4 linked regions of the Elephas maximus indicus genome follow. The protein of the gene in region 4 purifies or fractionates together with the protein of the main gene of each other region. This does not show direct contact. Links are inferred from orthologs where the notes say so. Each region holds a gene or a part of one and is shown on either strand. Other genes may lie near its edges.

Evidence for each region.
Region 1: the proteins of OTUD5 (region 4) and EEF2 purify together in Homo sapiens (affinity purification with mass spectrometry, with the first as the bait; 3 studies listed by BioGRID). This does not show direct contact. The link is inferred for Elephas maximus indicus from reciprocal best matches to the Homo sapiens genes OTUD5 and EEF2.
Region 2: the proteins of OTUD5 (region 4) and CNP purify together in Homo sapiens (affinity purification with mass spectrometry; 3 studies listed by BioGRID, with this or other methods). This does not show direct contact. The link is inferred for Elephas maximus indicus from reciprocal best matches to the Homo sapiens genes OTUD5 and CNP.
Region 3: the proteins of OTUD5 (region 4) and CTPS2 purify together in Homo sapiens (affinity purification with mass spectrometry; 3 studies listed by BioGRID and IntAct, with this or other methods). This does not show direct contact. The link is inferred for Elephas maximus indicus from reciprocal best matches to the Homo sapiens genes OTUD5 and CTPS2.

Annotation. Positions count from the first base shown.
Region 1 is NC_064821.1:7,039,422-7,046,262, reverse strand, and holds the start of EEF2 (elongation factor 2), read left to right. Parts: upstream 1-3,841; 5' UTR 3,842-3,939; coding exon 3,940-3,942; intron 3,943-4,931; coding exon 4,932-5,146; intron 5,147-5,992; coding exon 5,993-6,174; intron 6,175-6,262; coding exon 6,263-6,474; intron 6,475-6,645; exon of another isoform or gene 6,646-6,710; intron 6,711-6,795; coding exon 6,796-6,841. UniProt on the Homo sapiens protein: Catalyzes the GTP-dependent ribosomal translocation step during translation elongation.
Region 2 is NC_064837.1:48,958,914-48,965,840, forward strand, and holds the start of CNP (2',3'-cyclic-nucleotide 3'-phosphodiesterase), read left to right. Parts: upstream 1-3,917; 5' UTR 3,918-4,046; coding exon 4,047-4,049; intron 4,050-4,087; exon of another isoform or gene 4,088-4,225; intron 4,226-5,731; coding exon 5,732-6,398; intron 6,399-6,927. Other genes in the region: ODAD4 (outer dynein arm-docking complex subunit 4), read left to right, coding at 1,607-2,151. UniProt on the Homo sapiens protein: Catalyzes the formation of 2'-nucleotide products from 2',3'-cyclic substrates. May participate in RNA metabolism in the myelinating cell, CNP is the third most abundant protein in central nervous system myelin.
Region 3 is NC_064846.1:162,888,828-162,896,181, forward strand, and holds the start of CTPS2 (CTP synthase 2), read left to right. Parts: upstream 1-4,341; 5' UTR 4,342-4,552; intron 4,553-4,627; exon of another isoform or gene 4,628-4,904; intron 4,905-7,354. UniProt on the Homo sapiens protein: Catalyzes the ATP-dependent amination of UTP to CTP with either L-glutamine or ammonia as the source of nitrogen. Constitutes the rate-limiting enzyme in the synthesis of cytosine nucleotides.
Region 4 is NC_064846.1:122,667,250-122,675,072, reverse strand, and holds the start of OTUD5 (OTU domain-containing protein 5), read right to left. Parts: upstream 3,002-7,823; 5' UTR 2,279-3,001; coding exon 1,685-2,278; intron 1-1,684. Other genes in the region: KCND1 (potassium voltage-gated channel subfamily D member 1), read right to left, coding at 7,043-7,271. UniProt on the Homo sapiens protein: Deubiquitinating enzyme that functions as a negative regulator of the innate immune system. Has peptidase activity towards 'Lys-48'- and 'Lys-63'-linked polyubiquitin chains. Can also cleave 'Lys-11'-linked ubiquitin chains (in vitro).

The sequences.
Region 1 (6,841 bases), on a different chromosome or scaffold from region 4:
TTGCCAGGTCTTTCTCCCACAGGGCAGCTGGCTGGGCTCAAATCGCGGACCTCTCCTTTAGCAGCCCAGAGCTTAACTTTGTTCCACCGGGGCTCCTTCTAGAGGTTTCAGGGGCAGCTTAAAACAAAGAAATGCAAAACAGCCTGCTAAGATCTCTAATCCAGGTCCCTAAGGGCAAGCTGGAGCACCCCAGTGGCTTAAATGATTAAGCTACCAGCCACAGCTTTGAAAACTTTATGGAGGAGCTATACTCTGCGCAATGGGGTCGCCATGAGTTGGAAACAACAACAAGGACAGAGTATAAAGCTCCCTCTGAGACTCAGTTTATGCCCCTGTAACTGTTACCTGGAGCTCTGGTAGAGGAGGGGTTAAGCGCTAGTTGGTTCAAATCCACCAGCTGGGAATCACTGGCCGACAGTGGGTAACTGTTAGCTATTGTTGAGGTAAACTCCCTGGGTGGTGCAGTTAGCTTACTGAAACTTTGGTCTCTTGTTCTTCATGTTTTTTTTTTTTTTTGCATTCATTTTTACTTAAAAAGTATGAAAACACTACTATCTTGATTCATGAGTTTTTTGGAGCCCCCTTAAATTTTGTGCCTGAGGTCGGTGTCTGGCTCTCCTCACCCTAGTCCCAGTCCTCCTCAGCACGTAAAACAAAACAAAAACACCAAACCAGTCGTTGTGGAGTCGGCCCTGACTCATGGCGACCCCGTGTGTTTCAGAGTAGAACTGTGCCCCACTGGGCTTTCAATGGCTGATTTTTTTGGAAGTAGTTTTTTTTTAGATCACCAGGCTTTTCTTCTGACACACTTCTGGGCAGACTCAAACCATCAACCTAGCATGCAGTAGATGCCTAATAAATGCGTGTAGACGGAATGATCACAGTACCTAAAACATAGCATTTCTATCACGTAACGGGAGCAAACACTTAGTGATTTCTGCATACCAGGCACTGTGCTCGGTGCTTTACTTGTATTAATGTCTTTAAGCCGCAGAAGAGCCCCGTAAAAGAAGTTCTGTTGTTAGTCCATAACTTACATGCAAAACCTGAGGTTCAGAGAGGTTACGTAACTCGTGCAAAGTCACACAGCTAGGGAAGGGGCAGAATCAGCCTGTAAACTCAGGATGTCTGGTCTCGGTTAACCAAAGCTGAAGCACATCTAGCTAACAGAATTTTGTAGAATTGCTTCCCGACCGAAGCATGCTTTTTTGAGTCATATTCGTCCGTGCTTTTCCTAGCTGTGTAATCTTGGGATAATTAACTTTTTTGAGCACTAGTAGCCTCATTAGTACAGGAGGCCACCCAAAGCTCAGGGTGTGGGAAGAACTAAATGAATTACTTGATTTAAAGGGCATACAGCCTTGGAAACCCTATAGAGCAGTTCTAGTTGTCCTATAGGGTCGCTGAGTCGAAATCGACTCGACAGCAATGCATTTTTTTTTTTTTTTGGCTTGAGGCCAGCCCTTATTATGCGCTGATTCTCTGTAACTCCGAATCGACTCAACCGCAACGGGTTAATATCAAAGGCAGAACGGAGCGGTTTGCAGTGGCGGCCGCTGGTCAGCAGGGGTCGCTACCGTCGTCTCCGCGTCCTTCCGGACGCCGCAGCGGGCGCATGCGCAGCTGAGCCTCCCTGCAGAGGGGGCTTTTTTTTTTAATTTCTGTTCCCCGCCCTTAACCCCAGCGGGTATTTATGACTGCAGACCGTGAACCTGGCTGTGGTTGCTTTGGCTCACAGTCGAAGCTCCCACCCTCCTCCCCTAGGCTTCTGCTAAAGTCAGGAATGGGACTGGAGTTGGAGAGAGGTCCCCCCAGCTCTGGCCAACATCTGGCAGCCGGGGGTGGGGTGCCGAAGCCCTTTCCGTGGAGGCACAACAGCGGGGGCGGGAGGGACTTCAATCTTCCCTTTCCCCTTGAACTCTCCAGCCCCGCCCCCCTTGAATATACCTTACAATCAATTTTCTCAATGAGCTATGTATTCATTTGAGGGCAAATTAAACTCGCTTTTCTAAGGAAAACCTTTGCATGCCATTTGTTAAGTGCCCCCGGTTTGCAAGGAAGAAAGGACAAACGGCTGTGCAGTGCGTAATACGGGACCCAGCACACAGTAGGTGCTTAAAAACTTTAAAAAATTAATTTGTGAAAAAGGGAAAGCGGATACCCATCTGCTGAATACGCGTCCCCCCAATGGCGCATGCAATTGACTTGTAAAATTAACATAAAACGTGTGTAGAACACAGGCGTTGATGTTTAAAAACCCAGGCTGAGTTGTGTGTGTGGGGGGGTGGTGAGCCTGGATCTTTGAGTAGATATTTATGGAGCGGCGCCTTCCTGCCTCAGTTTCCTCCTGGGTTAAACGCGGGACGGTGATAGCAAGAGCAGTCGTGGGTTGAATGAAATCAGGGCTGCGACAGCTCAAAGCTAAATGTGCACTGCATTTGCCGGGGCGGAAGGGGTGTACAGGTTTATTTTAGCGTCCTTTCGAGAATTTGCAAGGCTTTTGCGGACCTCCCCCCTCTCCCAGCCCGGGAGAAGCACTGCAGTGCTTTGCTTTTTACTGAGTGAGTTTGGGGGAAGGTGTACTGCAGCGAGTTCATCTGAGCTGGTGAGAGCATCTTTCATTGATGCGTTCATTACTTGGTGATAGCCGACTACTTGCCAGGCATTGAGCTGGACTCAAAGCGTAAAGAGACGGAATTGAATAGCCAATTCGTCTCCACCAGCGAAAGTTCCGAAATACAACTATTTCTTAGGGTCAGATTAGGACACAAATGCTAAATAGCCTTCCTTGCGCCTGCCCCTGGAGAGGAACCGAGACAGTGAGATTGCACATGGAAAGCGCTTAGCCCGTGACTAAGACACGCAGCAACCCCTGAAATAAATAGTTGTTTTATTAATATCAATGGAAGTTAATTAAAATGGCTCAAGAAGAGTTCCTGTGTGTCAGCATGGTGCTAATCTCTTCACGTGTATTTAACTCGTTTTGCTATCTCAACAGTGACGTAGTACTGAGCACTCCCATTTCACAGATGGGGCAACTGAGGCACAGAAATTAAAGTAACTGTGGTGGAGCGATTTAGGTATTTTGTTTGTTCATTGCTATATCCACAGCACCTATGACTGCCTGGCACATACCCATTGCCGATTGGATTTAGACTCATAGCGACCCTACAGGACGGAGTAGAACTGTCCCATAGAGTTTCCAAGGCTGTAAATCTTTACGCAATCAGACTGCCACATCTTTCTCCAGCTGAGCGGCTCAGCGGCTGGTGGCTTCTAACTCCCGACCTTTCGATTAGCAGTGAGCGCTTCACCACTGTACAACCGCTTCTCTTTCTATCTAGGACGCAGCATACACTCGCATTTGTTGAAGAAATGAGTGATCAGTACCTGTTTTTTAAAAGTTTTTATTTTGAAATAATTATAGACTCACAAATAGTTGCAAAAATGGTACAGAGAAGGACCGACTACCCTTCACCCAGTGGTATCATTTTACAGGACAATGTAAAAACCAGGAAATTGACATTGCTCCAACCCGCAGCCCGTACTCAGACTGTAACGTGCTTTCAATAATAGTGGTTGGCAAGCTACTGTAGTTGCTATTATTATTATTCTCAGCGAAAGCGGCGCACTTAGCTTTGTGAACCTGAATATTGCATCCCGGAGGCGTGCACCAAGCTGGCAGCTGACTACCGCCCCTCGGAAATCCAGGCTCGGGACGGCGACTGAAGGGTTAACCGGGGAAAGCGTCAGTGCGCCTGCGCAAGGTGGCGCCTCGCCCTGCCCCCGCAGCGCGGTCAGATGACCCGCCCAACCGGCGTCGGCCTATAAAAGGCCGAGTGTTGACGTCAGCGTTCTCTTCCGCCGTCGTCGCCGCCATCCTTGGCGCGACTCGCCTCGCTCGTATCTGCCTGGGAGAATCCACCGCCATCCGCCACCATGGTGAGTCACGCCGTCTCTCGGGCGGCCCGGGCCTGCGGTGGGGCCTCCGAGGAGTCGGCGCTTCAGAGTCTGGTGCGCCGAGGCCGCCGAGAACGGGGAGAGACATGGCGGCGGCGGGCTCGGGGCTGGGGAAGCGGCCGCCGCCATGTCTGCGTGCCGCGCTGTCGGCGCAGCCCGTTCTCTGCTTCCGGGGGCGCCGCTGCCTCGCGGGAGCCCGGGCCCGGCGGGAGCCGGGGTGAAGGCGGGGTGGGGGCATGGTGATGTGGCAGGCGCTGTAATGGCGGGCGCCGCGGCCGGCGAGGGAGGCGCCTTATGTAACCCGCGGGTCGCGAGTTGGAGCTCGGGGTTCTGTCCGGGGGCCGTGGGCGGCGGGGAGCCAGCGAAAGGAGGCAACGGAGTCCTTAAGCCCCCCGCCCCGGTCTCCTTCGCATCCTGGGTAATCTTGGTCCTTGTCGTTTCTGTGTTTGTCAGCTACAGAAATGATTGGTTTGCTGCTAGGTGAGGACTGGCTCTTGTTGGGGGTGCGAAAGGTGCCTGGGTGCCCGAGGAGAGAGCTTATGTAGGGATCTGAGGGGTGGGACGGATCTCCGTGACGACCCCCACAGCAGAGAGGTGACCTTGGATATCAAAGGCTTTTGGGGGGAGGAGAGCGGGGTAGCTCCGTGGCTTTTCTTTAGGAGTTTTGGGGGAGGCATTGTTAACTGACATCATCATTTTTGCACCTGGCCTGAAGGGAGTCGTGTCACCCTCGGTGACTCACTGTATAGCCTACTTTGTGGGCTGTCACCAGCAAATGGCAACTGAAATCAGAGCTGCTATGGAGATTTGGGAGAGAGGTTTTTATGGAGATTTGGGAGAGAGGTTTTTCAGAGCACCCTGGTCATCAGTTGGGGGTGCCAGCTTGCTCTTGGCCGTGGGCCTGGCTGTTGTATCGACCGGATTCTGAGTGCCAAGTTGGTTCCTGGAATCCTGTTCTCCCCCTCCCCCAGGTGAACTTCACGGTAGATCAGATCCGGGCCATCATGGACAAGAAGGCCAACATCCGAAACATGTCAGTCATTGCCCACGTGGACCACGGCAAGTCCACGCTGACAGACTCCCTGGTTTGCAAGGCCGGCATCATTGCCTCCGCCCGGGCTGGGGAGACCCGCTTCACTGACACCCGGAAGGACGAGCAGGAGCGCTGCATCACTATCAAGTCCACGTGAGTCCCTGGTGCTTTCTGGGCCCTGGCAGGGAGTGGCTGATCAGCTGGCTGTTGGGGGGTGGAGGCTGGTGACAGCACGTACCATCATTTTCGGGGGGGGGGTGACAGCACGTATCATCTTTCTGGGGCTGGGGCTGGTCTGCCCAACCATAGGAAAATATGGTTCAATTTAACGAGGTGCCGCTGGGTCGAGATTGGGGGCCTTGGGGAGAGGAGAAGGTTTGACCCAGTGGTCTCCTCCTGGGGAGTGACTTGGCCACTCCTCCAGGGACACTTGGTACGGTTGTCAAAGCTGGGAGGGATGCTACAAATTTCTAAGGTTGTTACTGAACACGTTGTGATGCGCAGGACAACCTGCCCACCAGCACAGAGAACTGTGTCCGTGCAAGTCCGTAGTATCCAGATTGAGGTTGATTCAAGGCCGAGTTGTCTTTAGTTGGTAATTTAGAGGATCTTTTTGGTCTTTTATAGTTAGACTTATTGCAGTTGGGCCAGGAGAGGGACAAGTAGGTCTTGGGGTTCTTAAGTCCTGGTTGGTTATAGAATTAGGTGTGATGTGGCCCTGGAGCAAGGGGCTGGGGGCCCCCAGGAAGGGGAGGATCCCTGGTCAAGGGTGCCATGGGTGGGTTTTGTGTGTAAAGTCCATTTTGAGGGATGACTGATACTGTGGGGGCACAGGTTAGCATGTTGCTCTGAGGGGTCTGTATCTGGGTGTTTAGTGGCATCCCTGTCTTACCTGGGAATTGGGGGCCAGACATCCTGACCCACTGGGGCAGGGATCTGAGGCTGGTGCAACCTGGGTCCGTGTCCATCCATCCGTAAGATTTGTCTGTCTGTTCTTAGCGCCATATCCCTCTTCTATGAGCTCTCAGAGAACGACCTGAACTTCATCAAGCAGAGTAAGGACGGTTCTGGCTTCCTCATCAACCTCATTGACTCACCTGGCCACGTTGACTTCTCCTCAGAGGTGACAGCTGCTCTCCGTGTCACTGACGGCGCCTTGGTGGTGGTGGACTGTGTGTCCGGTAAGCAGCGGGTCCCTCTGGTTGGGGGGGGGACTCGGGCCGTCTCCGCTTGGGTCATCCTCTGGGTGACTGACCGTTCCGTCCCCAGGTGTGTGCGTGCAGACGGAGACGGTGCTGCGCCAGGCCATCGCCGAGCGCATCAAGCCTGTGCTGATGATGAACAAGATGGACCGGGCCCTGCTGGAGCTGCAGCTGGAGCCCGAGGAGCTTTACCAGACCTTCCAGCGCATCGTGGAGAACGTCAACGTCATTATCTCCACCTACGGCGAGGGCGAGAGTGGCCCCATGGGCAACATCATGGTGCGGGGCCTGGTGCTTGGTGGGAGGCCGTTCTCTGTGGCAGGGACTAGGGAGACTCGGCTTTTCTTGTCTAGTGGGTGCTGTCATTGGGGAATGGTAGTTTTGAGGAGCTTGAAGAGGTTGATTTCAGCCACTGGTATCTGGGAGAGGGAGGCTGGGCTGGGCACGCCAGCATGTGATGACTGACATTTCTTCACTTTGACCTGATGTGTCTTGAAGAAACCCAGTGTCTGAGGCCCACGGTACCTGGGGAGCCTGAGGCTGTGATTTTTACCCCAGTGCCCCCGCCGCCCCAGCTCTATGGTTCCCTCTTCTCCTCAGATTGACCCTGTCCTTGGCACCGTTGGCTTTGGTTCTGGCCTCCATG
Region 2 (6,927 bases), on a different chromosome or scaffold from region 4:
GCTCTTTCTCACAGGCCTCCAGGGAGTGAACAGGCCAGCAGACCCCATATTGAGTGAGCTGTCAAGGTGCGCTGGCATCTCCCAGCCCACTCTGTGGAAAGGGTGAGGGAAGGGGAGGCAGGTGGTTGAGAACCCAGCCCGACCTGAATCAGCAGAGAAGGACCCCAGAGACCCCAGAGGGGCATAATCGCTGCTCTACTCAGAGCTTCCTGCGTGCCAAACACTCTCTTAGGGCTTTATGCACATGAGCTCATTGGATGCCCCCAGAAACACTGTGAATAAGTAGTGGTTTGATTTCACGCAGAGGACAAAGATGTAGAGAGAGGTTAAAGGTCCCGCAGTGGTTTTTAGTCTCAGGCAGTCAGACTCAAGAACTAGAGCTTGTATGTGGTTCTGTACCACTCTGGCTGTCCCCTGTGCTGCCCTCCTGCCAGCCAGACTGCAGAAAAGGGGAGCCGGAGTGGTGGGGTGGGGCCTTTGTGCACCCAGATGGGACAGAGCCCAGCCCTGGGGACCTCTTCTTCCCATAGAGCAGATTTGTAGCTACAGCCCTCCAGGCTCTGAGGCTGAAATCCTCTCTGATCCAGGCAAGGCACCAGGAACCTGGGGGTGGGTTCTGGGCAGCTGAGCAGCCAGATGACAGCCATTTATTACAGGGGAGTGCCTGTCGTATGGTGGGTGGGTCCCATCAGGGAGGGACTCTGTCTCTGGCTCCACGTACCCTTGGAGCTTCTCTAAGAAGGCACAGGAGCACTAGATATGAAGAGTCAGCAGGGAAACAGCAGATGCTTCAAGCAGCCTCTCCTCCCTTCATCTCTCCCCTCTCCTGGGACAGGCCTCATATCCTCCCAAAAACTCCTCAGAAGGCCCTGCGGCCAGGGGCGGCTGCTGGGCACTTCCCTCTCAGGACAGCAGGTGGCAGCATGGCCCATGTTTTCATGCGCAGTGGCGGCCTTCTCCTGCCCGTGAGGCCTCTAAGAGGCACTGCAGGCTTCTTAGGGACCAGGGACTTCCAGGAAGAGAGTGTACTCAGGAGGGGACTGCTGATTCTTCTCAATGCGAAAAGCATGGAGCAAGGATCCCTTTGGTTGTAAATAGCTCTCTAGCTGCTAGCAGCCTACTCAGATGTTCACAGGAGACCACCCAGCAAAGAAGGAATGTGCTCCCCAGGAACAAAGAAATCTTAGAGGAAAAAGAGAACCGTGCTCTAGAGTTAGACTGTCCTGGGTTCAAATTCTGACTCTGCTGTTTATTTACTTGCATGGTGACTGTTGCATGTGATTTCTCTTCAGTCAACCTCATGTCCCTTGACCGTAAAATCTGATCAAGGGCAGTGTGCAGCATTGTGACGATTAAATGGTGTGACCTGCATGGCACCTCACATGATGCCTGGAACAGGGTTCTTGCTCAGTAAACGGTGGTTCCCTTTCTCTTCTTTGTGGAAGGTGTGCTATCAACCACCGATTTACAGAGCCTGCGAACATGGGCATTCTCAGGGCCTTTTTCTTGGCTGTCTCTCAGATGCACAGGCCTCCATAGCAGGGGGCTCACCTAGGCCCAAAGATGAACAAACTTTCATCTTCCCTTCTTTCTCACGTTCTTCCAGAAGAGACCATGGCATTGGATGATGCCACAATGATGGCAAAGAGACTTAATGAAGAGAAGAAAATGAAACGAGCGAAAGAGGAACCTGAGAAGGTGATGAAGCAGTGGGAGAGAGAACATATAGAGCCAGATGACGAGCTGTTCGAGGCAGACCTGAAGAGCTCAGCACTTGAGCTGGAAGGGAGCAGGCAGAGACTGGAAACAGAAAACACCAGCTCCTCAGGAAGAACAGAACTGGGGCCAATGGAAAGAAGAGATTCAGGAGAAGTCGGCAAAAGACTGCCTGGAGAATTAGGCAGAAGAGAGTCGGGAGAAACAGGCAGGAAGCTATCAGAAGTGGGCAGAAGACAAGCAACGGAAATCTACAGGAGGCCCTCAGGAGAAATAGGCCACAGGCTCTCAGAAGGGTTAAGTGGAAGTGAATCGGAAGGAAGCAAACGGGCAGAAGCAGACAGAAGAGAGTCAGAAGACCTGCCAGTGCCAGGAGAGATGGGCAACACAGAAAATCCTGAAGAGATGAAAAAAGATGTAAAGAAAGATGAATAAAGCCTTGTTAACAGGCATTAGGATCAGGAGGCTGGAGTTCACAGCGATGATGGGAATCTTATTAAACTGGATTTTCAAGCTGAGATTTGTCTTTAATAGGAAAAAAATGGGGGACTGGGCCCTACTGGTCACCTCTGCTTCTTTCTGTCACCATTTTCCCTTTAAATATATATATTTTCACTCTTACAAGCCCTGAGTTTATTTTTTTGCCCCCTCACTCCCACCCAGTCTCAGAAGAGCCTGAGAGAATGAATCAGTGATGCTGGTGTGGGTACCACTTCCCAAGCTGAACTCTTGTCCCAGAACCCTGAACAACGCCTGACCAAGAGTGTGACCAAGGTGTGCAACATAGCCCTCTCCCCCCAGGCCCTGTACTAGGACCTCATGGAAGAGAAAGGTGCTAAGAAATGTTTCCAGGAGGGTGAAGAAACAGGTGAGCTCCAAAGAACCCAGGAAGCTTAACAGGAGGAGAAAGAGAAAGGCTTGGGAATGGCCACGGGTTTGCCAACCACTGGCCATTGGTTTATTTTTCAGAGCCCCTGCTGTGTGCAGGACACTGTAGGAGGCTTTATGGAGAAGTGATAACAGGACAGGCTCAGCTATCATGCCATGGAGGAGGCCGACTTGTAAAGCCTTCAAAGCAGAGTGAAATGAATGCTGGGACTGATAAGGGGCCATTTTGCCCCAGGAGCCCAGAGGAAGAAAGATGGCTCCTTTGAAAGAAAGAAACGGGGCTGGCCCTGGGAGCTGGGACAGTAGCTGGACTTCACGGGTATGACTCCTGGTGGCATGACCAAGTAAATCGAGCTCTCCAAGCTTGTTTCCACCTCTGTAAAATGGGATACCTGCCTCAGGGGTTGGCACGAGGGTTAAATAAGAACTTAGCATGGCACATGGCACACAGCAAAGGCTAGAAAATCAAACGGAGTGTTGAGTGGGTCACAGAGGAGGTGGCAACTGAGCAGCTGACCTTAGAGAACGAGTCAGGATTCCACCATGCTCTGTCCTTTTCGTTCCGTCTCCACACCCACTCGAAAGCGTGGAGTTGCAGCTGACTTTAGGCTGGGGTAGAGGAGGGGACTGGAGTGAGATGAGTAAGGTACTGCTTTGGGCCAAAAGTAAACACAAAACACCAAACCGTTGCTGTGGAGTGATTCTGACTTATGGTGACCTCACGTGTCTCAGAGTAGAACTGTGCTCCACAGGGTTTTCAATGACTAGATCTCAGAAGTTGATCCCAGGCCTTTCTTCCAAGTTGCCTCTGGGTGGACTGAACCATCAACCCTTAGGTTAGGAGCCAAGCACTTAAGGGACTCAAGGTGGCGCCAAAACACTCAGTAATCGAGACAGGTAATATTTCAATGCAAAATTGGAAAAAAAATTACAATTAATGCAAAACTCCATGCTGAATAAAATGCCAACGTTTTACAGACAGGTTCTGACCCTGCCCTTGCACGACCCTGCCTCACTCGTCCCATCCTAGGCCTAGCCTTGGTCTGGCGGTGGGGCTGGTTGCTTCCCTAAATAGAGTTAAGCATTAACAAGCGCAAGAACAGAGGCCGAACAAGCCCCCGGGCCGCCGCAGGTCTCGGAGAGCACAGGTGCACACCCGCCGGCGGCCAGGCACGCGGGGGCCCCCAGCGCCCGGCCGCTGTGAGTTTCGATTCCGCGCGCCTGCGCGCAGAGTGCCGCTCGCCCCGTCCCGCCCCTCCCCTCCCCGCCCCGTCCCAGCCCTCGGCACCGCCCGCCCGTCCGCGTCGCCCCGCCCCCGGGGTATGTAAAGCGGCCCGGCTGGCGTCGTGTGGCCGCTGAACTCCCGTGTCCCTCCGCGCAGGCGGGCGGTCCCGGAGAGCGAGTGCCTGCAAAGGCGGCGACGGCGGCCCCTCTTCCTCATCATGGTGAGCAGAAGGGTGAAGGCCGAGCGGGGAGGGAGAGGACTGGGCCGGGCAGAGGGGTAGCGTCGGAACGGAAAACCAGAGTATTTTCGGGTTCTCGGGAGGAAGTGGCATGCAAATGAGGATCGAGGTTCCGGAGTTGAGCTCAAGCTTTTTTGGGAACCGGATGCAGTCCTAAGGTAGGGAAGAAATGGGGAGGTTTGGGAGGAGTGGTGGCTGGAGGAGGAAACGAGGGGGAGACCTAGGTGGCGTGGGTGCGACCTGGGGTCTACAGCGACGGGGCCCCCGGCCTGGTTCCGACCCCTGCGCTGGCCCACGCTCCGGCAGCCATTCGTCGCCTTCCCGCGCCCAAGGGCCTGTCTCCCAAAACAGCATGCCAGCAGAGAGCCGCTCAGGGAGGCGGAGCCCTTTGGAAGAGAGGACGGTTTATAGTTTTCGGTTGTCACTTGTGGCTTTTAAGGATCCCTGATGGCGCAGTTGTTAAGAGCTGGGCTGCTAACCAGAGGGCGGTTCAAACCCACCAGCGGCTCTGGGGAAGAAGGTTGTGGCAGCCTCTTTCAGTAAAGACTTACAGCCTTGGAAACCCTGTGGGGTAGTTCTGCTCTGCCCTACAGGGTCACTGTGAGTCGTAATGGACTTCACCGCAACGGGTTTTGGGGTTGTAGCTTTTAGCAGATAGGAAAACAAGTGGCTTGGAGATGTGCTGGGGACACATAGCAAAGCAGTGGGCAGAGCTAGCCCCTGAACCCAGGTGCCTGTGCCGCCCAATTCTACGACAGGCACAAAGGCCATGACTTTGTGGGGCCAGAGAGAGGGCAGGAAGAGGTGGCAGGCATGGTGAATGAGGCTCTTTGTCCAGCGTTCTACTGCCCTGCCCCCTACCAGCCCGTCTGTGGGGCCATTGTCCCCCCATCCCAGACAAGAGAGTATTATCCGTTGCTGCAATTGTTGGGGGCAGGGAGGCAGTATTTTGGTAACCCTCCTCCCTGCTCCCCAGTACACACTCTGAGCCAGGACAGCTGTGTCTGCCCAGATAGAGAAACCCCACTCTCGAAGAGGACATCCTTAATAGTTGCCAAGAATATAAAAATTGGGGCCAGGCCCTAGAACCACAGGCTTTAGGCCCTCCCCCGCATGCATGTCAACACGGCTTCCTTTTGGAGGTGGAAGGAGTGGGTAATCCTTGGGGTACTGCTCTAGCTGGAGGGAAGCGAGAGTATAGGCAGGCTGGGTGCAGCTTCCCTCTCCATCCTCTGCCCCCAGTAGACAGGTACTCAAGGGGACTAAAAGGAGGGGCATTTTTTTTTTTTCCAGTTGCCACCCAATCTCCTCTGACTTATTGTGACCTCTTGTATCTCAGAGTAGAACTGTGGACTGTAGGGTTTACAATAGCTGATTTTGGGGGGAGGGGATAGATTGCCAGGCCTTTCTTCCAAGGCACCTTTGGGTGGATTTGAACTTCCAACTTTTTGTCTGTAGCTGGGTGCATTAACCGTACCACCCAGGGACTCCAAGGGGCATGGTAGGCCCTAGAAAAGTTCACTACTTCACCACTCGGGAAGGTGCTTTCAACCCTAGGGATGCTTATAAACCAGGGCAGGGGAGCCAGGTTAGACAAGGGGCAGGGCTGGTGGGGTGGCTGCTGGTGACCTGGGCTGACATCTGTTCTTCTCTTCCTCACACAGAACAGAGGTTTCTCCCGAAAGAGCCACACATTCCTGCCTAAGATCTTCCGCAAAATGTCATCCTCAGGGGCCAAGGACAAGCCTGAGCTGCAGTTTCCTTTTCTAACGGATGAGGAGACGGTGGCCACGCTGCAAGAATGCAAGACGCTCTTCATCTTGCGTGGCCTGCCAGGGAGCGGCAAGTCCACGCTGGCACGTGTCATCAGGGACAAGTACCGTGATGGCACCAAGGTGCTGTCTGCCGATGCCTACAAGATTACCCCTGGTAGTCGAGGAGCCTTCTCTGAGGAGTACAAGCAGCTGGATGAGGACCTGGCTGCCTACTGCCGCCGGGACATCAGAGTGCTTGTGCTGGATGACACCCACCATGAGCGGGAGCGGCTGGAGCAGCTCTTTGAAGTGGCTGACCAGTACCAGTACCAGGTGGTGTTGGTGGAGCCCAAGACAGCGTGGCGGCTGGACTGTGCCCAGCTCAAGGAGAAGAACCAGTGGCACCTGTCAGCTGATGACCTGAAGAAGCTGAAGCCTGGGCTGGAGAAGGACTTCCTGCCACTCTACTTTGGCTGGTTCCTGTCCAAGAAGAGTTCAGAGAGCCTCCACAAGGCTGGCCAGACCTTCCTGGAGGAGCTGGGGAACCACAAGGCTTTCAAGAAGGAGCTTCGACACTGTAGGTGGCAGGGCTGGGGGTGACAGGGAAGCTGGGCCCCTGAGCCTCATTCTCTCGCCCAGCAAACACTGGACACCAGGTGCTGCATGGACAGTACCATTGTTCTTAAAGGATTGGGAGCCAAGCGGAAAAGGCAGTTGGGGCCTCAGCTGGTACGAGGCAGAAGCAAATCGGTGCTTCATAGAGGTGGCCTTGGGTAGTGGCAGTACAGTGGGAATGTGGGGGCAGGTGCTTCCCGGAGCACTTGCCCTCCTCTTTTCCTTCTCCCAGTCTGGATCTGGGCCACTGTCCCTGCCTCAGAGGTGGGAAAAACAAATGACTGTCACAAGAGGAAATAACGTCACCATATGATATAACCTTGGAGAATCTGGTCCAATGTTTTCAAAATCATTTTGAGCAGCAGAACCATTTTTTAAAACAAAATAGTACATGGAAGCCTAAGGTGTAAAAAAAATTAATAGGACTGTTCTGACTTTCCTGGGGATGATTCCCAGATCTTGGGCTGCCCACCCTCCTCTTGGCCCCCAGT
Region 3 (7,354 bases), about 40 Mb from region 4:
TGGAAGGAAAGCCTTGTGTACCTGGCAGGTAATAAGTATTACTGTTGAGATCACCTATTTCACAAACATCCTTTCCACTGGGTGCTCTAGAAGGCTTGCTTCATTGATAAACCCATCTATCTGTATCTCCAGCCTTTTCACAAGGTGTTTCCTCCTTATTTCGGCCTTTACGGAGACCTGGGTCTCCACTGGAGCCCTGGTGGTGCAGTGGTTAAGCATTGGGCTGCTAACCAAAAGGTCGGCAGTTCAGATCCACCAGTCACTCCGTGGGGCCCCCCCATGGGACAGTTCTACTCTGTCTTATAGGGTTGCTATGAGTCAGAATGGACTCTACAGCAATGAGTTCTTTTTTTTGTAATGAGGATCCCTAAGGATGACCCCGAGTAAAGCCTGTGCTCATTTTCTCAGAAGCTGACATCAGTATCCCTAGCCCCTTACTGCCTCTTCCACAACACATCTCTTTCACCCTTCATAGGAGAAAGTCTCCCTTTTGTTTTGAAACAAATTTTGCTATACAACTCTTTAGGCAGCTGTGTGGGGCAAATGGTTAAGTACTTAACTACTAGCCAAAAGGTTGGCAGTTTGAACCCATCCAGAGGTGCCTAGGAAGACAGGCCTGGTGATCTGCTTCCGAAAGGTCACAGCCTTGAAAACCCTATAAAGCCCAGTTCTACTGTGCACACATGGGGTCGCCATGAGTTGGAATCGACTTGACAGCAACTAACAACAACATACAACTCTTTATCCTTCTCTGTTGTCTTCATCTGTTAGCTCCAGGGTTACTTCCTACATTCACTGAAGATTTGGGTCCTGGGCCTCAATTTACTCCTCAACTCCCACCTCCTTCATGCAGCCCTCAATGCCCAATACACTCGCCTTGTAAGTGCTAGATCCAATTCCAGTGATCGCCATCTCACTTTTTATTCCGTATGAGTGGTCATACCCTACATCTTATCATCTCCTCTAACTGCTTCCCCTTTGAAGTCTTTGACTCCCACATCACACTCTCTGGTGACAGCGTACCAGTTCTCCCATTCTCATAGGCCCTCTTTGAATTGAGCCTCCAGTCTTTTTTTTTTAATAATTTTTAATGTGCCTTAAGTGAAAGTTTACAAATCATGTCAGTTTCTCATACAAAAACTTATATACATCCTGATTTACACTCCTAATTGCTCTCCCCCCAATGAGACAGCACACTCCCTCCCTCCACTCTCTCTTCTCTTGTCCACTCGGCCAGCTTCTGGCCCCCTTTGCCCTCTCATCTCCCCTCCAGATAGGAGATGCCAACATAGTTTCATGTGTCTACTTGATCCAAGCAGCTCATTCTTCATCAGTATTATTTTCCATCCCATAGTCCAGTCCAATCCCAGTCTGAAGAGTTGGCTTTGGGAATGGTTCCTGTCTTGGGCTAACAGAAGGTCTGGGGACTATGACTTCTGGGGTCCTTCTAGTCCCAGTCTGACCATTAAGTCTGGTCTTTTTATGAGAATTTGGGGTCTGCATCCCACTGCTCTCCTGCTCCCTCAGAGGTTCTCTGTTGTGTTTCCTGTCAGGGCAGTCATCGGTTGTGGCCGGGCACCATCTAGTTCTTCTGGTCTCAGGCTAATGTAGTCTCTGGTTTATGTGGTCCTTTCTGTTTCTTGGGCTCATAATTACCTTGTGTCCTTGGTGTTCTTCATTCTTCCTTTGAGCCTCCAGTCTTTTGATCCTTCTCTTTTCTTTTTTCCCCATCTCTTAGCTCCCTGCTGGGTTCAGTTCCTTTCCTCTACACACTAGACCCCTATTCCATTACTACAATCTCACTCTTTTAGCACCCTCAACTCCCTCCCCGTCTTGTCCTTCTACTGTACCCAACCAGCAATCTCTGCTTTTATCATAAGTATCTATATTTTTTTATCTATGTTTATCTATATATATATTTGGAAACCCTGGTGGTGTAGTGGTTAAGTGCTACAGCTGCTAACCAAAAGATCAGTAGTTCAAATCTACCAGGCGCTCCTTGGAAACTCTATGTGGTAGTTCTACTCTGTCTTACAGGGTCCCTATGAGTTGGAATCAACTCAACGGCAATGGGTTTGGTTTTTTGGTTTTATTCTATATATCTTGCAAAATTATAGCTGAACATCACTACACAATTATGGTTCTTAAACTTCACTAGGTCTTCAGTGAAGTCCCTGAGTGGAACAAATGGTTAAGTGCTCAACTACTAATCAAAAGGTTGGTGACTGAAACCTACCCAGAGGTAGGTTCTCGTGATCTGCTTCTGAAAGGTCATAGCTTCTGAAAGGTCATAGCCTTGAAAACCCTATGGAGTGTAGTCCTACTCTGCAACACATGGGATCATCATGAGTCAGTCAGAATTGACTTGATGGCAACTGGTTTGAATTTTTTTTTTTTTAGTGACACTTGACTAACTTGTCCCTCTAGTGTCTCAGACTGGTTATTCAAAACTTTTACCACTTTCTTAAACCTTCCATTTCACTTCAAAACCTTCTATTTTCTGTAGATAGCCCTGGCTATACGATAGAGAAAACAGAAGTCCTCTTTCTGGGCCAAACTCTTTCAGCTTCCCATCCCTATACGCACACATTTTCTGTATTCTCACCTTTCCTTACCTCTTTCCCTCCAATCTCAAAGGAAGAGACATTTCTCCTCTGGCTGAAAGCTAATTCTATCCATCTGCACTCTATATCTCTTCCCTGGGACTCTAATCTTCTCTCCTGTATCTTTAACTTCTCCCTCCTTCCCTTCAACCCATAAACATACTTAAAATTTACTTACCTATCATTTTTCTGGAAACCCTGGTGGCGTAGTGGTTAAATGCAACAGCTGTTAACTGGAAGGCTGGCAGTTCGAATCCACCAGGCACTCTTTGGAAACCCCATGGGGCAGTTCTACTCTGTCCTATAGGGTCTCTGTGAGTCGGGTTTTTGGTTTTTATCATTTTTCCACTGCTTCTTTCCATTTCAGGCTTTGCAAAAGGCTGTCTTGACTTACCATCTCAATTTTCCTTACTCTTCGATCCATGAGCGATATGGTTTCCGACCCCACTGCACTGCTGAAAAAGAGTTCCCGTGAAGACGCTGGTTGCTCTCCCTAAATTGGAAGTGTACTTTTCAGTCTTTACTTCCCTGTGTTCTCTGAGGCACCTGGCAGACAGCTCAGGAGCACCTGGCTTTCTGAAAAAAAAAAAACGATCCTCTCCTGCTTCTTTCCCTTCTTGTTTGCAACCGCTTCTGCTCCTATTGCATTTGCTAGTTCTCCTTCTAGGTAGGGCTTAGCTCTGAGGAGAGAAGGGCAACACCTTTCTTTGAGATAGCTGGGAAGCAAGTACAGATAAAGAACAATTCAGATCAGTGGCCTTACTGGCAGACAATTTTTAAACAAATTCCCTTTTTACATATCATTGGTGATTTCCAGTCCTCTTTTTCTTTCTCTACACTGTTTCCTTACATAAGTTCAACACTGGTGGCTTTCACTACCTATATCTCTAGGTCCTTTTCCTGATCCCTAAACCCATACGCCCAGAAGTCTAGGAAGACCTCTTACCCTGCTGGCTCCTAGATCCCTTAGTTAGGCCCATAGCTGAAGGAGTTCTCCTCCTTGGTTCAATCTGATTTGTTCCTCTGGTACTCCCTGATTTGGTAAAGATAGCACTGTGCATCTGTGCCTCCTCCTCATCTTCTACTTGGACCACTCCAAAGAAAACCAGACCCTTAAAAAAAAGACCCTTAGGCCCCTGAATATAGTTCCTAGAATATGCACTTTGTTTTCCTAAGGTAGGAGGGGGTTAGCACTAACAGCAAGACTTTGCAAGGAGAGACCCCTTTTAAAGGCAGTAACTTAGGGTCTTTGAAACCAAATGCCCTTATTTGTAAGCCGCTGGGTGGCATAAGGGTTCAAGTCCACCCAGACACCTCCGAAGAAAGGCCTGGCGGTCTACTTCTGAAAAGTCACAGCCATTGAAAACTCTGTGGAGCACAGTTCTACTCTGACACGCATGGGGTCACTCTGTGATTGCAACGGTTTCTGTTTTTGGTCCCTACTTGTAAAAGGAGGTAACAATGCAAATGAGAAAGCCTGTTTAAGGGAGCTGTTACCTAGCAAATGCTCAGACACCGTTAGAGTCTTTCTCCTGGTGCTTTGTAAGCTCTTCCCTTCTCCTTAATAACCTCTGGTGTCCTTTCTCAACACCAGCCAACCACCAAATCCTCTTAAGTTACTCTGAAGCTCTGATTGTTCTCTGACTTCTCCCCCCGCCCTCCAGCAACTTCTCCTTCTATGAAACTTCACTGATTCCAGTCCTTTTGTAGCTCTCCCGCCAGACGGCGAGCCCCTCAAACGCAGAATTCCGTTTTCTTTCGCCCTCTCCTGAGCGCTCCTGCAGTTTCTGGCGCATAGTCAGGGATCAGCAAACGTTTGTGACAGAGCGCAGCTCTTCACAATAGTGAGAGCTGGACGGGAGGACCCAGGCTGGGGGCTTGGCCGCAGAAGGGGCCGGGGCTCGCCGGGGACCGTGAAGTTAACCGCGCGTCGGGAGTGCCAGTGCCAAGTGAGCTGCGGCTGGGGGAGCGGGTTGGGAAGAGCGAGGCCTGGGGCCGCGGGCGCCCCGGGCGGTGGGCGGGGGCTGGCGGTGCCAGAGGAGGCACTTTTAGCGCTTGGTGTTGGCCGTTGCCCAGACTCGGGTGTCAGCCCCAGGCTCCCCGGCCAGAATCAGCCGGGCGGGCTGCAGGGCACAAGGGGAGAGGCCCGCGTGGGCGGCGGGAGGACCGGTGGGGACTCCGGACACCCCTAGCGGCGGCCGCCTTCATCGCCCGGTCCCACAGGTGAGTGCCAGGCAGGCCGCGGGGCGGAGCCTGCCGTCGCCACCGGCCACCCAGCCCGGCGCCGCCACCACCGCGCAGGTAACTTCCCGCCCGGGTCTCCCCCGCGCCTCCGGGACCCCCAGAGCCTCCGCGCCCGTGCCCCTCGGCCGGCCCTGTGCCCCCAGCCCCGGCGCGCCGTGGCGCCTTTGTCCCCCGCCCCGATGGCGGCGGCGCTTGCCCCTGCGCAGAGTCCGCGCTCGGCCCAGAGCCGGCGTGTCCCGGGAGTGGGCCGGCGCAGGGAGCCGGGGCACCGCCCTGCCCGCGCCCGTCGGAGCCCGCCCGTGGGCGTCCGGCGCCGGGCGTTGCCCAACTCCCTCTCCGCGCCGCGGCGCCCCGATCCCTCCCTTCCTCCCCGCACTCGGGGCCTGAGCGCCCCGGGACCACGCTCGCGGAAGTGGGGCCCCGCGCCGAGGGCCATCCCCTTCCCCCAGCCGGGCGCACTTGCAGCAACAACCCTGGCTTTCCCCCTTAATAGCTGGCTGTGGAGCACGGCGCTGAACTGCGCTAGTGCCACCAAATAGCTTTTTTTGGCATCTTTTTTTTTTAAACCGATGTTTAATTTATATACAGTAAAATGCACCAGTTTTAAGTGTGCAGATCAGTGAGACTTGACAAATTATACAGCCGTTACAATCACTCCCCCAAAGGAGACATAGAATGTTTCCATCACCCACTTTCCTTCGCGCTCCTTTCCAGTCAATCCCCGCCCACAGTTCTGATTTCTGTCATAGCTTACTTAGTTTTGCCTGTTCTAGAACTTAATAAAAATGGGATCATTCAGTGGATACTCTTTTCTGTTTGACTAAAAGTAATTTTTAAGTGGCCATCACTGAGAAGGGGTCTTCTGGTGTTTGGTGTGTGCTCTGGGTCTGCGAAGCCCAATATGGTAGCACCGCCACGTGCGGCCACTGAGCGCTGGAAACGTGGCTTGTCTGCGCTGAGATGTGCTATGAGCATACGCAGCTAATTTCGGAAGACTTAGTACAGAAAAAGAATGTTAAATATCTCATAAATGAAATTTTATGTTGAATACTCGTTAAAATGATAATATTTGGAATGTATTGGGTTAAGTAATAACATTAAAATTCACTTCAGCTGTTTTCAATTTTTCATGTGGCTACTAGAAGATTTAAAATGAGACACGTGGCTCACATATTTTTGTTGGACAGCGCAGCTCTACGCTCCTATTTTAGAAACATTTGGCTCTGCTTCCTGTTATTACAGTAAATGAAAAAGTTGAATCTTCACAAGGGAAGCTATTCCCATCGCAAGGAAGTGATCTAAAACAGAGCCTGACTTCTGCAGGTTTTAAACTTTGTTTCACTTACTTGTTTGCTTAAAAGAGGTAGAAAGGACTAGCTATAGCTGGGCGATAAGTTACATTTTCAAGGACTTTCTAAAATATCGCAAGTGCTTAAAAAGGCACCCTGTGTGTGTGAAAAACAGAAAACTAGTAATTGCCTACAACCCAAATGCCTAAATATATTAAAAATGAACATTTTGGTGTACTTTTGACCAGTCATAATTAAACTTAGTTGAGATAATATTGTGTTCAATTTTATATCATGCTTTTTTCACGTAGCATAGGTTTTAGAATATGGTAAAATTAGAGAAACAGTTATTTTCCCTTTAATCCCGTGGGAAATGTGAAATCTGAGAAGACAGAGATGTTGTCTTTTTTGTTTACTCCTATAGCCCCAGGAACTGGGAACAAGTCAAGCACTAATAAAATAAAAAAAACAAACCCATTGCCATCCAATTGATTTTGACTCGTGGTGACCCCATTTGTTATAGAGTAAAACTGCTCCACAGGGGTTTCTTGGTTGTAATCTTTATGGAGGAAACCCTGGTGGTGCAGTGGTTAAGTTCTACAGCTGCTAACCAATAAAGGTCAGCAGTTCGAATCCACCAGGTGCTCCCTGGAAACTCTATAGGGCAGTTCTACTCTGTTCTATAGAGTCTCTGTGAGTCGGAATCGACTCGACGGCAACATGGCTTTTTTTGCGTGTATTTTAATCTTTATGGAAACAAATTTACAGGCCTTTCTTCCATGGTTCCACTGAGTGGGTTCGAACCACCAACCTTTTGGTTAGTAGCTGAGAGCAAACCGTTTGCACGACCTAGGGACCTTCAAGCACTAAAAAAAAAAAAAGCACTAATAAAAAAAAACCCGTTGCCGTCGAGTCAATTCTGATTCATAGCAGCCCTGTAGGACAGGGTAGAACTGCCCTGTAGAGTTTCCGAGGAGTGCCTGGTGGATTCGAACTGCTGACCTTTTGGTTAGCAGCCGTAGCACTTAACCACTACACCACCAGGGTTTCCTCAAGCACTAAGAGATGTTCGATAAACACTTGAGAGCTGATCAAATAAGTGAGTAGGTGGCGCTGAGAAATGGTAACAGCTACCTTTATTTATCCCTTATGCATGCTTTGTAAATCCCCAAATAAGTCTCTGAGGTAAGTACTATTATTACCACTATGTCACTAGGG
Region 4 (7,823 bases):
GGGAAGTCCTCCGTTCCTGAGGGGTACCTCAAGTTCCCCGAGGGGGAAGCTCCGACCTCAACCCTAGAGACACACCCATCACTAGGGTAGGTATGAGTCTCCTGTTCCTGAGGGAAAGTTCAAGTCTCGGTGGAGTGGGTCTCAGGTCTTTCACCCTAAAATAGGGGGACCTAGGCCCTTGAAGATCCATGGGAAAGCCTCAGACACCATCCCTGGGACCTCATGCTGCTCATGTCCCCTGAGGAGTGGCCTCAGGCTTGAGGTTCCAAGGCAGGGGTCCTCTGTCTTTGACAATTAGCTCAGTCTCTTGGGGAAGGGGACCTCAAACCCCTGTTATGGGGGAGAGAGAGGGGAGGTAGTGATTATATCACTACGTTGTCAGTCAGTCCCTTACAATTGGGATAAAAAAGTCTCATAACCTCATGTAGACACAAAAGGTTCCCTGAAAACCTCTGCTGGGGGATATGAGGCCCCCAAAGACGCCTCAGGCTCAGTCTTTGAAAACACCAGTCCATAAGCAGGGAGGTCTTAGGCCCCAGTATCCAAAGCAGTGAGTCTTTATTTTCTTGAGAGAAAGCTCAGGCCCTTGGTGGGAGGCTGGGGGAGAGGGGAAGGGAGGCCCACCCTTAGAAGCTTAAGCTCCTAGAGGCTCAGACTCTTGTCCCCAAGGAGGGAGGTGTCAGGCCACTGAAGGGAACCATAGACTTGTCACTCAGAGAAGAGATGATTCATATGAACCTGAGTAGAGTTTCTGGTCCCTGGGGATAGGTTTTGGCCCTTGTCCCCAAGTGGAAAGGGATCTTATCTCCCTGAGGGAAAACTCAGACGTCTATCTCTAAAGGATATGTACATGTGCATGTCAGACCCTTGATTCTAGGAGTCTCAGGTCCCTAAAGTCAGGCTTAGGACCCTTGAAGTAGTCTCAAACCCCAGTGCTTAAAGAGCCTGTGCCTCATTCCCCTGCAGAGGAGAGCTTGTTCCATGCAGTCTCTCAAGTCCCTGAAAGATTATAGATCCCGTGGAGACACTCGGGAGCTATCTCTGAGGTCTCCGCCCTATTTGGGTTCCCTGGAGAGGGGAGTAGGAGCAGTGGTGGTGCAGCAGTTAAGCGCTCGGCTGTTAACCAAAAGGTCAGTGGTTCAAACCCACCAGCCAGTCCAAAGGAAAAAAGATGTGGCAAGCTGCTCCTGTGCGGATTTACAGCCTTGGAAACCCTACGCGCAGCAGTTCTACTCTGCCCTGCAGGGTCACTATGAGTCAGAATTTACTCAGTGACAGTGGGCTGGGAGAGGGAGTTTCAAGCTCCTATCCGAGAAGAAAGGGGATCTCAAGCCCCTGAACATAGACTCCCCTCTCCGGAGGCACTCATCCTACCTGTCTCTCCGGGGCGGGGGGAGGAATTCCTACCTACTGACCCTACATGATAAGATCCCTGACAATATAATTACTACTATGGGCTCTGTAAGACACCTCAGAGCCCATGTTTAAGTCTCACACCTTATCTGGGGCCTCTGAGTCCAGCGGGAAGAGTGTCTCATGTCCCTACTACCAAAGAAAGGAGTGTCAGGCCCCGAGAGAAGACCTAAGTCCCTCGGCATTTTCTCAAACCAGCATTCCTGGGTTCCCTACCCAGTCTAGGGATCCCATCCACCATCCCATACACCTCTTGCCTCCCAACCTTTACCTGCTCAACAGTGGCAGGGTCCATGGCCTCGATGCGTGCTGCCGCCGCTTCATATTCATCCTCGCTGTTGTAGCCAGCGCCGACCTCCTCACGCTCAGGACTACCTCCGCCAACCGCGCCAACCCCAGGGGCTTGACGCCGCCGCTTGCTGTGCCCCGGCCCGGAGCAGCAACCGCCCACGCCCACAGCACCGCCCACGCCCACCACCACGCCCGCCCCACCCACGCCCGCCCCTGCCGGTCCCAGTGCGTCGCCAGGACCACCGCCCGGACCTCCTGGGCCTCCGCACGGAGGTGGAGAGGCCTGTTGCGGCCGGGGACCCGCCACAGCGCCGGGCGGGACGGCCAGCGCCCAACGATGAAGCGCGCCTGGAGGCCCCGGTAGCGGACCCTGAGGCGGTGGCGAGGCCCGGGGACGAGCCCCCACGACGCCCGAGTCACGATCACGGTCGCCGCCGCCCACGCCCGTGCCGCCGCCGCCCACGCCCACACCCCCGCCGCGGCGCGGCGCCGGGGGCAGGGGCCCGGGCGGCGGCGATTCGTTTGCGGGGTCGGCGTCGGGAGGCGGGGGCTTCTTTTTGGGGAGAATAGTCATGGCGGCACCGCCGAGTACCCCCCAGCAAACCCGGCGCGGGGCACGCTGGGAGATAACCCGGATGGGGGGGGGCTACTGTTGTGCGCGAAGGACGTCGGGAAGGGCGGAATCCGGATAAAGGGATTAAAGCACCGGTTCGAGAACCCTCGGTGGGTGCGCGGGTTACGCCGGGAGGAGAACCCGGATATGAAGTCCAAGGTGGAGGTACTGTTGCGAGTTTCTCGCAGCGTTCTCTCCAAGTTCAGCAAGTTTTTTGATATGCTCGTTCCTGCCTTCTGCTTCAAAGGAAACAGAACCAAAACAAGTGCCTCTTCGCCCCGCCCCCTCCCAGGTTCTTGAACTACCGGGTGGGGCCCGGGTGGCGCTGCGCAGGCACTCCAGGGCACAGACCCGCCCCTCTTTGGGAAGTACGTGGGCAAAATCACCGCCGCCGCCACAATTGAGAGCACCAACCAATCAAGGCAGCTGCGTGGGGCCTCAAGGATGGCCTTGGACCAATCAGGGGCGAGCGTTCGCCCTCTTGTGTCCTCCGCCTTTGACTTCAGTTAAAGTCGGTACTCTCCTTCCCTGCCTTTCTGTTGGCCGGTTCTGGTCTTCACTTCTTTCCCCGAGGCTCTGACTCGCGGGCATGGGTACTGCGAAAGAACTGCGAGGTTTGCTCCATGCGCGATAACGAAAGCCCCTCCCCTTCAAACTTCCAACTTGGCCGCACTCAGCTGGACTGACTGAAAAATATTGAAACTCCCAGGCCATAGCGTTCCCTTGTAGCGTCAGTTCCGGTCCCACCCACCTGCAAATCCCCGTGGAGCAAAGAGGCGGACGCCGCTTCACCCTGGCAACAAGTCGATTTCTGCGCTGATTGGTGAAGAGACACCCTCACTTACGTTGGACGGGCCAATCGTGGGACAGACACGCACCGTGGGGACTAGGAGTTTGGGAAGCAAACACGCCCTTTGGCACAACCACCCTTTCGCCCTAGCGTTGACCTCAATGCGCCAATGGTTAGTGCACAGGCAAGGCACAGCCTTTTTTTTTTTCTCTGAAGTGGTTTTTACTGGGTCTAGCGCTAACGGAAAGGTCAGCGGTTGGAACACACCAGCCGCTCTGTGGGAGAAAGATGTGGCAGTCTGCTTCCCTAGAGATTTACAGCCTTGGAAACCCTATGGGGCAGTTTTACTTTGTCCTCTAGGGTCACTGTGAGTCAGAATCAACTCGATGGCGTACAACAAGCGAGTATTTACCAAACAGCTCTATTACCAGCCAGGGTCTCCCAATGGGGTTGGTAAAATCCCTGCTACTGAGTGATTGGAGAGCTGCGAGCTAATCCAATCTCTGCCCTTCCTTCTGAGTGATCCTTTCCAAGTCATTTAACAATCCCCCCATTCTAAATTTTTACTTCTCTGTAAAATGGCAACAATAATTCCAATTTTTCAAAATGAGTATCAGAGGTCCGTGCTTGTAAAGGATATGGTGCCATCCCTGGCACACAGTAAGTGCTCATCAAGTTAGTCTGGTGGTACAGTGGAAGGACCCTCTAGGCTTTAGAGTCAGGAAGACCTCCGTTCCAGGACCAGACAGACCATTACTAGCCGTGTGACCTTGAGCAAGTCATTTTGTCTCTTGTTTACCTATCTGTAAAATGGGAATAGTAATGCCTGCCTAGTTACTTCAGGGGCCCTGGCGGCGCAGTGATTAAGCGTTAGGCTGCTAACCAAAAGGTCCCCAGTTCCGATGCACCAGTCGCTACTTGGAAATCCTATGGGGCAGTTCTACTCTGTCCTATAGAGTCACCATGAGTCGGAATCGACCTGACCACAATGAGTTTGTTTTTTTGTCATTGCTGTTGTATAGACTACCTCACAGAGTAGTTAACGGGGTTCGAATGAGCTCATGAACCAAAAAGGTGGTATAAGAGGTGAGCATTTGCTGTCAGTCTTAGGATCCAAGCCATACAACAGGCTGACTGAGAGACCATTAGAAAGCTCTCTGATTACCACCTAACTGGCTACCTTAAGTTCTTCCCTGAAGAGTATCAGTAATAAATGGGCTTTCGTAGTGTTTTCTGTGCATGAGACTTAATGGAAGGAGGGGATTCGCATTTATTGGGCCTGTTGTGTTAAGGAAACTGTGCCAAGTGCCTATGGCCATTATCACATTGAATCTTCTCAGGACCATCTCACTCCAGATCCATATATCCCAGTACCTACTAGATATTTGTTCAGCACTGCACATCCAAAACTGAACTCAGGGTAATGATCATGGCTAGCTTATTACGTGCCTGGCACTGTGCACTAACAGCTTTGATGTTTCCTTTGACAGCGAATGGCCCATCCAGCCATTGCCCGAACCAGAAACCTGGGAATAAACCTTGATTACTCCCTCTTCTTCAACTCCCACATGCCCACCAGTTCCAAGTCCAGCCAATTCTACCTCCCAAATCTCTTGACTTTCCAACTCTGCTGCCATTACCCTGGTCCAAGCCACCATCACCTACCAACTGGACTACCTAAAAAGCCTCCTCACTGCTCTTCCTGCCTCCAGGACTATTTCTCTACAATCCACTCACCACAGCCAGAATGATCCTTCTGAAACACACCTACCTCATCATGACACTTCCCTGTTTATAAGCCTTCAGAGGTCCCCGTTATCCTTAGGATGAAATCCAAAATCCGTATCATAGTTTCAAAGCTCTTTCATGATCTAGCCTATCTCTATATCCTTGTCCTCATCACAGCCTCACACTCTCCTCCCCAGCCACACTGAAGTATTTTCAGTTCCCCCAGACACCTTCAGCTTGCTCTCTAACCTCCAGATCATTGCACATGCTGTTCCCTCTGCCTAAAACATTTTCACCCCTTTGTCTTTTGTCTGGCTAACTTCAATACATTCTTTATGTGTCAGGCAGGTTAGGTTCTCTTGCTATCTAAATGCTTCTGCAATCCATTGATCTTAGTTCTACAACACTATAATTGCTTAATTGTCTGCCTTCCATGCTGAACTCTGTATCTCTAGGACTAGTACATGATACATACTTAAATATTTGGTAAATGAATGATTATTTCACAGATTAGCAAACTGAGGCATGAGAAGGTAAGTGATTTTCTCACACAAGGATTGGAGCCCAGGTCAACCTAATCCAAAGTCTGTCTTCTTATTTCTCCATAGAGTTCAGCCACACACAAACCTAGTGTAGCCAGTAGCTCGGGAGAGAGAATGAAGGGGACTTCCAAAGGAAGGGGATTTCTCCAAACTGAGAGATGCTTTTCATGAGAGTTAATTCAGAGGTGTTTGCTGTCAGGAAACCTGAGTTTAATTCTCTTCTAACCAACTGTGTGCTGCTCTGGGTCTCGGTTTCCCCATCTGTGAATGAGGGAACTGGATCAGATGGTGGCCAAAGAGGCATGTCTCTAGACCTCCTGGCCTGCCTCACTGTCTGTAGTTTCAATTTTGGAACCACCCTTTTTCATGTCTCCTAGATCCCAATCTTCCAGAACACATAACCAGCCATCCACCCCCCTGTACCTTTACTCACACCAGCCCTCCTACTAGTGGAAAGGAATTGAAATCAGAGTGTTTTTGACCCCCAGCCCCCAGAGCCAGGAGGTGCTTAATCCTCATCTCTCCTCTTAGGTTTTATTGACTGATGGAAACTACATCTTTGTCAGCCGCCAGCTCCATGAGGTCAGTGCTGGGGACAGGGAACCTGAGATGATGCCAGATTTCAGCCTGACAGCAGGCACAGTTCCAGAAGGTGACCCAAGAGAAAGGAACATGTAAAAAGGAGTTGTGGGGAAGGAAGAGGAGATCAAGAAGTTCCTCCTGCCTCCTACAACTCCCAGAGTTCAGGAAAAACCCAGGCCTCAGCCCCTGACGGTTCTGGACTCCTGCCCAAAAATATGGAATCAGCCCATGATTTCCAAGCACAGCCCAGCTCTTGCTGGCTGCCAGGCTCTTATCTCAGCCAGTCCAGACTCCAGCCCAACCCAGGAAGGAAGCAAACCAGAGGAGAGGAGTGAAGGATGATTGGTTAGAGGTGGTCCCTCTGATTAGGGTAGATGTAGATACTGCAGCAGACTGAGCAGAGGCTTTGCATAATGTCATGGCGGCAGTTGCTATTGCTAGAATTTGCTGGAGGCCTGGCAGAGGATGGGGTTGCGGGGACCCATTTTCAGTAGCTAGGGAAGGGGCTGGTGTGTTTGTGCTATTTGTCTATGTTGGGAGGGGCAGCTTGACCCCTCAGCCAAGGCCTGGGAGTGGCAGATCACTGCTGAGGCCACAGCCCATGGAAGCCTGTGGTTGTTGCATTCTAAGCTTTGGAGTCTTGGAGTTGTTGGACCTGAGATCAGAGGTGAGGGTTCTTTTCTCTGAAGTCCCAAACCTCCACAGCCCGGCCAGAGAGAAGAAATCTTAGCTTTACTTCTCAGGCCAGAGCCCAAGAATCAGATGGGAGCTTTACCTACCTCTGAGGCCTCAAGAGAAGGAACATGCAAGAGGCCAGCTAGGGGAGAGGGGCCAAGGAGGTCGGGGGTCTGTGGAAGCCCAGCACTTCAGCTCTCACCAGGAAAATCATGTGGGGTGGGAGAAGTTTCCCACTCTCTGGCTACTTCCCCACCAAGTGGGCTATTCCCTGAAACTCCATTGCATAGTTCTTGGTAGGGGGCAGAAGGGGTCCCCAGGCCTTCCCCTCTCTGCTTCCCTAAGATATGGCTTTGGAAAGGAGTCCCCAAGAATTAAGAGGGCCCTCTGGAAGGGTAGACCCACCCCTCACAGGGAAGAGATCCTGACAGTCTCAGGGAGGAGGCAAGGGGTACCCATGTTGGAGTTCCTGAGGGTGTTGCTGGCCCTGCTGCTGCTGCCATCAGGGGAGGAAGGTTGACTCTCATCTGGGGTGTTGGCAGGAGGGGTAGGGATACTAATAATGGCGGCCACGAAGTCCTGGCTGTCGCAGTTCAGATCAAGGCCGTCATAAGGCTTGGCATTGAGGCTCGAGCGGCTGTGGACAAGGGTGTGAAAGAGGGAAGGCTCTTAAAAAGTCATCTTGATACTTGGCATAGCAATCATGGGATCTGTTGAATGCCCACTGGGTCCCTGGCACCATGCTAAGTGCATCATCCCCTGCATCCTTGATTATGGCACAGAGAGTGTGTGCTCTGGAGTCATTATGTCCCAGGCACTGTTTTGAGCACTTTGTATCATTATCTCACAACAACCCTATGAGGTAGGAAATACTGTTATTCCCATGCTATAGATGAGAGAAAAGAGGTTGAAAGTGACTGAAGTGCAGACACACTCCTGCCTTTGAGCCTTTACACAGGCTGTTTCTTCTGCCTGTAAAGCTCTTCCTCTGGATATACTCATGGCTCACTCCCTCTCCTCCTTGAGGTCTCAGCTCAAATGTCACCTTAGTAAAGCCTTCCCTGATCACACTATTCAAAGTGCATCACCCCCTGCTCTATACTCTCTATCCCTCATCCCTAATTTGTTTTTCTCCTTGGTACTTAACAAATGTTTAACATACTACATAATCTGTGTATTTGTTTTTTAC